Oryzias latipes: one gene and its partner. The protein of the gene in region 2 binds, or shares a complex with, the protein of the main gene of each other region. Links are inferred from orthologs where the notes say so. Each region holds a gene or a part of one and is shown on either strand. Other genes may lie near its edges.

Region 1 (4,657 bases), on a different chromosome or scaffold from region 2:
CCTCATTTCTCATCCTCCCGTTGATGTTTTTGTTAAACAGATGTAGATGTAAAATCTTCATCAATCATTGCATGACTAATGCACCTTCTATTGCCACCATATATTACGTCCAGTTAGATGACTCATTCTTTTCTTCAGCTTCTTTCTTGGACTTTCTTTTCACTGCCCCTCTCAACCTCTCCTGCTTCATCTCCGTTCTTTCTCTGTCTATCGCTGGAGGAGAGAAGTAGACAGAGTAACTGTTGTTTTTCTCCTGTTATTCAGATGGAAATTCTAATCTCCCTTTAAAAGAGAGTAAGTGAAGGAAAGTTGAAGGGGGGCAGGGTGGTGTGGGATGGTGGAGAAGAACACTGATTGTGGTGCGGAGAGAAGAAAATCGGATGTTAATTGAACAGAATTAGAGGTGATGGTATATTTTCCTCCAGTGTGCTTCTATTTAAAAATTGATCGCTGTTTTATTGATCCCATAAAAAAATGATGAGACTATATTCCAGTGGATTTGAGCAGCCAACTATCAGTTGGTTAGCCAGCGGTATAACTCCCAGACTTAACAGTTATTGTGTTTTGGGGCAAGATAGCCACATGAACCCCAAATGTTAATTTAGAAAAATAACAAACAAGGAATAAATCTGTAAATTCTACTAATTAAATTATCTTGTAAATGCTAAATAATATAGACATCCACTTGTATGCTCAAATCCATTAAGCAAAATGATGTGATGACTTCACATGCACAGCAATTTTACCAAAAATATCAGCGGATGATGTCAATCAAAAGTTCTACATTGACTAAACTGCTTCAACGGCGGTGAACACAACAATGCTCCTGCACAAAAAATGGAAAATTGATCGCTATTGCAAAATGAGCCTGTGCGATCAAGTATTGCAAAAGACAGCGTAAACTGCGATAAATGGTTACCTTTATGTTTACACACTTGCATAAACAGGGAAGCCTTTAATTTTCATTTAAGTGCACAATACCCAGTACATTGTTCTTTATTGTTGCCCATTTTAGTTTTAGCCAGTACTACCAGAAAGGTAGAAAATTGTTCTTTGGTGTGTTTTCCCACCATACAAGTTCTTTCCAGTCTCCTATTGAAGTAACTTTCTATGTAATTTATGTTACCTTTTTTTTTTAAACAGAACTGTTGCAGTGAAATGAAAACAATGCATTAGTTATTTTTTGTTTTCTTGGTTTTTGCTCGTTGTTCATGTGTCGCAGGTCATAGTGTCATCGCAATAGTTTTCCTCGTATCGTTCAGCCTGACTAATTATTAGTCTGCAACAAACTCCAAGGGGTAAATTGTAAAGCATTTTTTTGATTAAAAACCTGAAGTCATTAATTACCCAAAAACAGGAGAGACTTTGTGTTATATAGTAAATAAAATAAAGACAATCGGTTGTCATTATCAGACATCTGAAAAAAAATCAAAATCCAATATTGAAGATCCCTTGTGAAGTAATTTATCTTTGCAGTCACAACAATGCACTTTGATAAAATGTCATCAGCTTCACCTATTTTTAGCGTTACTGTTAACTTCTTCTTTCTTCTTCTTCTGTCTCAGGTCCATTTCATCGATCCGTGGAGAGCTGTTGCCATATTTGGTGCGTAAGCAGTTTTCCAAAACAGCAAACTATGAGAAAATAAAAGACGACTGCGAAGACCAAACGCAGAAAAAGAGCTCTACAGACGACGGTAATCCTCTGCACAGAAAATCACATCAGTAGCTTAAATATTGCTACCTGGTTTAGTCACCTCTCAATTCTGAAGGAGAGGCAGCCAAATTCCTGTTTCTGATGTTGCTTTGTGTAATTCTGACATTCATGGTGGTTCCCTTGTTCCCGTCAGAGGTTGTCATCTCATCACGGGATGAATCCCTCCTCCAGCGAGCCCAGGAACTCTCCTGTTGGAATGATCATCGTGGGGACATGAGTGAAGCTTACCATGGAGGAAAGCTGCGCTGCTACGTCCACATTATGGAGCAGGGACTGTGCTGCCGCGTTAACACGCTGGCTGCTTATATAGAGGCAAACCGGCTGGTTAGTGACAAATGACCCCGTTTACAGTCTGTTCAAATTCTGTAAAGCACTACTCCTAATAGAAGAACAGATATTTTTACTTTTAACTCTTAAAAGGCCTTTCTTGGAAGATGTTGTTACCTTTTTTTCATGGTTAGGCTCCAAAGCTGTTTGAAGAACCAGCGGTCCACCCATCTTCAGTCATTTCAGAGAGATGTCAGGTATATGTGACACACAAACGATCTGACATACTTCACCTAACCAAGTCCTATAATAATTGCCCCAAATCTATCACTCTGAAATGATTTGTATGTCTACTGTTTTGTTTCTGATCCACATCACTGCTTGGATTCTCCCCTCAGATGGGATCAGACAGTATCATCGGGGCTCTGTGTCAGGTGGCGGATAAAACCTCCATAAAAAGATCCACGATTGGAAACTCGACCACAGTAAAAGAAAAAGTCAAAATCGCCAACTCCATCATTATGCATGGAGTTGCTATCGAGGAGGGGTAAGAACACACATTTATGTACCGGTACATATTGTCAAGTATAAGAATGTGCCTCAGAATAACCTTTATAAAGTCATAAACTGTCACTCCTACTAGAAATTATTAGTAAATTGTCACTGTGTTCCTGGAATTCTTTCCCTTTTTAGTTTAATCTTCACTTCTAATTTTTTAAATTTCAGTTGGATGTCAGATTTTATTCAAATATAAACAGAACAATGGCTATTTTTTTTTTAAATCCCAGCAGAACCTTTCACCAGTTTAGTCAGTGCTATGCTAATGGTGTGTGGGAGCCTGTTTGTGCATCAGGGCAGATGCTCACTGATATGTGTGTGTCTGCTGATAGGAGGTGTAGGTTTTGTTTTCTGGCCTCTCGCAGGTCAAACAGGGATCATCGTGTTAACAAAGCATGTATTGGTGTGCAGCCAGCCAGAGACCAGTTCCAAACAAACAGAGCTGCTCAAGTGAAGCACAACGTCCGTATATTTCAGTCCACGTCACATTTACACACCTTTATCCAAGTTTCACCCTTGTTGTACAATTAGTGAAATACCTTTGACTCCTAATGGTTCTCTAAGATAGGTCCGTTTTTAATTTTTTGTGAATATGTTTAACTATTTCTTTTTTGTTTTGTTTCTTCACTGAGGAATCAAATCATTGTTTTTAAATTGGGACATCTGTGTTTATAGCTTAATAAGTGAACTGACTTTGTTTGAATTTTTTTTCTGGTTTTAAAGTGTTTACAGCGACTAAACTCAAAAAGAATGCGTTAAAAACTTGTATATTTGTTCTGTTTTATCATTATTATTTTTTGGGGGAAATCAGGAGTTCAGATCATGATTAGTTACATCATTTAAACTGCTTTGAAGTTTGAATTCCACATTTACGACCAAAGCCAAGCCTAGGTGGGGAAACTATAAAAAATATATTTGTCTTTAAATACATAGATACAGTTGTCCCTTGTTTATCGTTGAAGTTACATTCAAAAATAACTAGTGATAATTGAAATCTGCTAAGCTGTCATCTTTATTTTTGATAAAATGTTCACATTTTCACACTTTTCTCTCTTGTTTAATCCTCAAAGTTCAAACCTAAATAGAAAATAAGTCCAGTATGACAAAGATCTGCTCACGATTGTAGATTTTCGTAAAATTGGCGAGATGAATGCATCCTGTACAGGAGACAGGAGGGGATTGATTCACAGTGGTCTACAGCCAATCAGGAGGCAGAATGCGCTGCTTAAAAAAGAATCCACCAAAAAAAATCTGCACAGACAGTGGTGCAAAATGTCGAAGCGGTGCAAATCTTGCTCCAGGCTTTTGCTTTCACAGCTCTACTCCGATATATGAAAGACTTGATGTCATATACAGTGGTGGACAAAATTGTTGGTACCCCTCAGTTAAACAAAGTCCACAATGCTCACTGAAATGACTTGAAACGTTCAAAAGTAACAATAAACTAAAATTTACTGAAAATTAAATCACCAAAATCAGCCATTACCTTTGAGTTTTTGATTAACAGAATTATTTTTAAAAACAAACTAATGAAATAGGGCTGGACAAAAATGATGGTACCCATAACTTAATATTTTGTTGCACTACCTTTTGAGGCAATCACTGCAATGAAACTGTTTCTGTATTTTTCAATGAGCCTTCTGCACCTGTCCACAGGTATTTTGGCCCACTCCTCATGAGCAAACTGCTCCAGTTGTCTCAGGTTTTCGGGTGTCTTCTCCAAATAGCATGTTTCAGCTCCTTCCACAGATGTTCAATGGGATTCAGATCTGGGCTCATAGAAGGCCACTTCAGAATAGTCCAACACTTTTCTCTTAGCCATTCTTGGGGGTTTTTGGCTGTGTGTTTTGGATCGTTGTCCTGTTGGAAGACCCATGACCTGCGACTGAGACCAGGCTTTCTGACACTAGGCAGCACATTTCTATCCAGAATGCCTTGATAATCTGGAGATTTCATTTGACCTTGCACAACTTCAAGACACCCTGTGGCAGATGCAGCAAAGCAGCCCCAAAATAGAACTGAGCCTCCTCCATGTTCACAGTAGGGACAGTGTTCTTTTGGTTGAATGCTTCATTTTTGAGTCTACGAACATAGAGGTGATGTGGCTTACCAAAAA
Region 2 (5,162 bases):
TGCTGCCTGAAGTTCTCCTCACTGAGTCCTCCAGAGGTCAGCATTTTGTGCAGAGACTCCTGCTGGTCTGCTTCCTCGCTGCTCCCTCGAGACCTGCAAAGGGTTCAAACAAAAAAAAAACCTGGAGGAATCAGAGGCACCAAACCAGATGTGCAATCAGCCCAGTATGGTCGCAAAAAAAAAAACAAAAAAAGCAGCACGTATTTAGTTACCATAACAACCATAATGATTTCTTTTTCATTGTGATTTTAAATGTATCTAATCTGATCATTTCCCTTGTTTTTATGAAACACATTTGTGGATCCTGAGCCATGGGGAAAGCTTGTCAAAAGATCTACGGGAACGGTAACTGATCTGTACTAAACAGGAAAGGGATAAGAAGATATTTATGGAACTGAGGATGCCAGTCAGCAGTGTTCAAATGTGAGGGGTTCTATTGAAACCAAACCACCATCACGAACATTTCTGCCAGAAAACTCGTTAGGGATGCAAAGAAAAACCCCACAGCTGTGATCCAAGGTTAAAATAGTTTCGGATTTTTTATTAGTTTTAGTTTTTGTTTCGTTTTGAATTTTTGTTTTTAAATTTATTTAGTTTTAATTAGTTTTTAGAGGCAGCTTTACTAGTTTTTATTTTTTGAAATTGCTTCGTTTTAGTTTAGTTTTTATTAGTTTTAGTGTTAGTTTTAGTTTTTTCTTCTTTTTTTTTGTAAATTAGGATATTTGTCAGGTGCATGATTCAAAATCACCAGAATAAGTATTGTATAATAAAAACTCAATCAAAGATCCATTTTGAAACACTTATTATTCAGAGGACACAAGGACAACCATCCTTAAATTAAAATACAACAGCCGATAACAGCATTACGTTATCTGCTCTCGCTTCTTTTTCGGGGGAGGGCGGGCGACAGGCTAGCTTGTCTAGGTACCGTTGATTTGCGTTTTTGTGTGCGCTTTTTAAATGTACTTTTAGATTCGTAGGGTTTTTCCCTTAGAGGAGCGTTCCACAAATTTTGTCTCCTGCTTCGACTACAAGGCACTTACTTTAGTTTTCGACACTGTTATATTAAAAAAAGTCCCAAATAGGACTCTCCCGCTTTCTCCCAACTTTTAATGCAGCCATCACGCTCATGTAAATGTCTATGACAACGCTAACCGGCAGTGTCTGACAGACATCATGTGACGTCACAGACAACGTGATGCCGCAGGGGTCAAATACACAGTAAAACTAGCAGCGTGAAGTAAATAGATTTTATTTCAACCCAAAAGACTTATGTATTAACAAAGATGAAAACTAAGTCTTTTTTGGGGTTAATATTATTTAGTTTCAGTCCGTTTTATACACACAACAAACAGTTTTAGTTAGTTTTCGTTTTTTTTAAAACTCTCGTTTTATTTTTATTTCAGTTAACGAAAATGTTTTTTCAGTTCTAGTTTTAGTTTTTTCGTTCGTTTTCGTTAACTATAATAACCTTGCTGTGATCCAGGACCCTCTGAAAAACTGTGGTGTGGATGTTTCAAGATGTACAATTAAAAAGGCACCTGGAAAAATAAATGGGCTGCACGGCCGAGTCGCCAGAAGAAAACCTTTTTGACGCCAAAAAGCAGCTGACAATATGCCACACAGAACAGACACACGCCTCCAAACTTCTGGACCATTAGTGATGAGACCAAGATTGACATTTTTGGCCAAAACCTTAAACGCTACATTTGGAGAGGAGTCAACAAGGCCTGTGATGAAAAGGACACTATTCCTACTGTGAAACACGGAGGTGGATCGCTGATGGTTTGGGATGTGTGAGCTACAGAGGCACAGTGATGGCGGATAAATGCAGCACTTTATCAGAAGATACTGGAGGAAAACCAGCACTTCTTCAGCTCAGGGGGTGCTCATGGGACGCAACAATCCAAACCACAAGGCCACGCCCACCTGTCATTGGTTCCAACAGAATATGTAGACGGTTGTGGAGTAGCTGTCTCAGTCTCCTCACTTCAATATTATTGAGCCACTCTGGGGAGACGTCAAGTTAAACAGCCCAACAATTTAAAGGAACTTGAAGTTTTCTGCCTTTTACCATTAGAGAAAATCAAGAACCTCATCCACAACGACCACAAGAGACCTGAAGCTGTTATTGATACAAAAAGAGGCAATACAAGGTATTAAGAACTGGAGTATGTTAACTTTTGAACAGGGTCATTTGGGGAGTTTCTGTTGTTCTTATGATTTCAAGGTGTGAACACTGTCGTTTAAAAATAAATGGCTTAATCTAACCACTAACCACAAGTGAAACAAGTTTGTGTTATCAATCCTGTTCTCTAAAAAACGTTTAAAATCCTTAATTTCTTCCAGGATTTGTAAACTTCTGAGCAGAACTGTATAAGGAAACTCAAAACATACAACCAGAAGAACTTTTTACCAATAAACCATGAAAAATGTTTTTAATGGAAACAGAAACTATAAACGTATTAAATGAAGTATTTTTTGGTGAGGATTTTCAGTCTGATAAATAATAAGTCTTTCTGCGTGTGCCTGAAACACACAGGTGAGTTCTGGGGGAATCCTCACCTGGCGTATTCCTCTCTGACGATCTTCAGGACCCTTCGGATCATGTTCCCCACCGTGGTCTCCGAGGGCTGAGCGGCCGTCATTCTCCTTCCCTCTTTTCGGATTATTTCCATCAAATCACCTGAAACAAGATCAAACTTTTTCTTTTATTTTGGTCATTCTTGTGCAACATAGAGACTGTCTACAGATTGATTTCATGTTGGCAGTTTTATTTTATTTTACAGACTAATTAAAACACACATAAATATTAATTAAAATATCCTCCAAGGGCGGAAAAATCTAAATAAAGTAAAAAAACTTTGTAAAAAAGAATATTTGTGTTAAATTGGTTGAATCCTCTCTTACTGGAGGTCAAACAATCACATATGAATAATACTATTTTGCTTTTACTCAAACACATGTTAAACTGGTCAAAAGTTTAAGAATTTTTTAACATTTCCACCTTTTCACTGAAATTCATTCAGTGCAACGTCTTTGCTTGCTGCATTCAATTTAGGGTTCCCTTTCCTTTCTTGTGACCATGGCAACGCTTCCAAACTATGACTTGGAGGTGTGGAATTAAAAGAGCAGCCTGACCCACCTGCGCTGCTCCACCGGGCCTGTGCGGTGATCCTGCGGAGCAGGGCTGTCGTTTCCCGGGCTGTCTCCGCGGAGCTCCGCAGGGGCCCGGTCCCGCTGCCCCCACGCTTCAGATCGGACAGGAAGGCTTCCAGCCTCTCCGTCAGGTCTGTTTCTTTGTCTGGACCAGGCATGGTTCCGATTAAAAAGCCCACTCAAGCCAAAAAACAACTCCCTCGCTCTGTCAGAAGGATAAGGAGGAAACACTTTCGAACCACTTCCGGGTGAGGGGGACGGTCCTTTTCTCTGATTGGTGGCTTTAAAACAGGGCGTTACATCAAAACAAACACCTTACAAAAATGTTAAATATCTTTATTTATTTATCCATTTATGTATTTATATTAATGCGAAATGTAATATATTAATGATCCTGTGGCGGTGGATCACAAAAGCTATGTGTCTGACATTTTACATGTGGAAAACAGTATGGAGCGGACTGACTGACTGATGGATGAGTGGCTCTGACCCTTCATGCCATCAGACGGACCAGAGTGACAGAATGTCTGACGGCAAGAGGGCTCGTGAAGGGTTTCCCTCACTCATCTGCTGCATTGCCCAAAAATGTGCCTCCATACTTCAGGTTGACAGAGGAGTTTTCCGTGCAACACATAATGTGTTCAGAGCTCCTCAACTTATTCTTCCAGTCAGTTTACATCACCAACTGATCATTTTGGCACATGAAGGTCATCAAGGCTTTGCAAGAACCAAGCAGAGACTCAGAGATTTGTACTAGTGGCCTGGCAGGGATGACCAAGGGATACAACACGTTAAAGGGTGCCAACTGTGTCAAAGTAGTGATAAAACTGCAGTTCCTGCTGCAGCTCCACTTGTACCGGCGCCATTTCCTTCTTTGCCATAAGACAAGGTGGCAATTGACGTTGTGGGTTCTTTTGAGACTGCTGTTTGGGAATGTAAGTATGCAATCACACTGGTGGATGATCACAGTATGGCCAGAAGTGGGTTTTGCAGCTTCTGTTACAGCTGAGACGGTGATCTTCAGTTTTCAGCAGAAGTAAACCCAGTTTACTGTTTGCTGCGTTCCTGCAAAAGAATGAATTCACTACAACAGTTATGTAGGTTGCATTCTTATTTGAGTAAAAAGAGGAACATGTTGTGTTCTGATGTTACCACTAGGGGGCGATGCAAGATTCGACAATGTGATGGAGAAGAAGAGAAGTGTATAAAGTATATTCTACAAACACATTCTGTTCAAAGTGTTCCAGAATGAAGTTCATGTGTAAAGAAACGCCATCTGATCCTCACAAGATACCACTACTGGGAGCATTTTTATCATTTTGTCTCTGGGTTTTGTCCCAAGATAGATAAAGGTTTAAAAAGCAGGTTTTTACTGTATTTTCAGCTGAAATGAATGTTTTAAAATGCTACAACGACAAGTGCATTGGTTCATAAATGGATTCTCTGGCCTCAAGCAGTTGCAGCATCTGTCTGATGATGTGATGCAGGGTTATCAGGACTTTAACCCCTAACCCTTTATGAAGGACTTACAGATTTGGGAGGAGCTTGGTAGAGTTTTTAAATGATTGAACAATAAATAGGTTTGGATTTAGTGAACCTGCAAATCTGTCTGCCAGAAAATGGGTTTTGATTTGTTAAACACAATTTAAAACATTTTTTATGAGCTGCAAATATATTTAAATATTGCTCTCACACAAGATCTGTTCTGCGCTCTGGTTCCTGACAAGAAGGTGATCTTTCATAAACTATCAGATGAGATTTTTTTCTATATGCAGATAATAATCGGATCATCTGTAAAAGCATTGAGGTTTGAAATGTTAAAGCGGAAATATTTCAGGTAAATATCCTTTAGGGTTACGTTTTTAGTATGATAATTTCTTCCTCTTTAATACTTTTTTTTTTTGTTTAAGTTCTTAGCTAAGAGAAAAAAAAGGTCTGTGAGACAATGAGAGAAATATTTCCATCTTCTTTGAGTCAATAATGATTTAATTTTTTCCAAGTCA

What was found. The genes of interacting proteins can lie anywhere in the genome.
Region 1: eif2b2 (region 2) and eif2b3 share a complex: the UniProt entries of both Homo sapiens proteins name them as parts of the translation initiation factor 2B (eIF2B) complex. The link is inferred for Oryzias latipes from reciprocal best matches to the Homo sapiens genes EIF2B2 and EIF2B3.

What each region holds. Positions count from the first base shown.
Region 1 is NC_019875.2:24,320,511-24,325,167, reverse strand, and holds part of eif2b3 (translation initiation factor eIF-2B subunit gamma), read left to right. Parts: intron 1-1,565; coding exon 1,566-1,696; intron 1,697-1,849; coding exon 1,850-2,040; intron 2,041-2,177; coding exon 2,178-2,240; intron 2,241-2,381; coding exon 2,382-2,530; intron 2,531-4,657. UniProt on the Homo sapiens protein: Acts as a component of the translation initiation factor 2B (eIF2B) complex, which catalyzes the exchange of GDP for GTP on the eukaryotic initiation factor 2 (eIF2) complex gamma subunit.
Region 2 is NC_019882.2:17,134,739-17,139,900, forward strand, and holds the start of eif2b2 (translation initiation factor eIF-2B subunit beta), read right to left. Parts: upstream 3,406-5,162; 5' UTR 3,318-3,405; coding exon 3,146-3,317; intron 2,687-3,145; coding exon 2,566-2,686; intron 94-2,565; coding exon 1-93. UniProt on the Homo sapiens protein: Acts as a component of the translation initiation factor 2B (eIF2B) complex, which catalyzes the exchange of GDP for GTP on eukaryotic initiation factor 2 (eIF2) gamma subunit.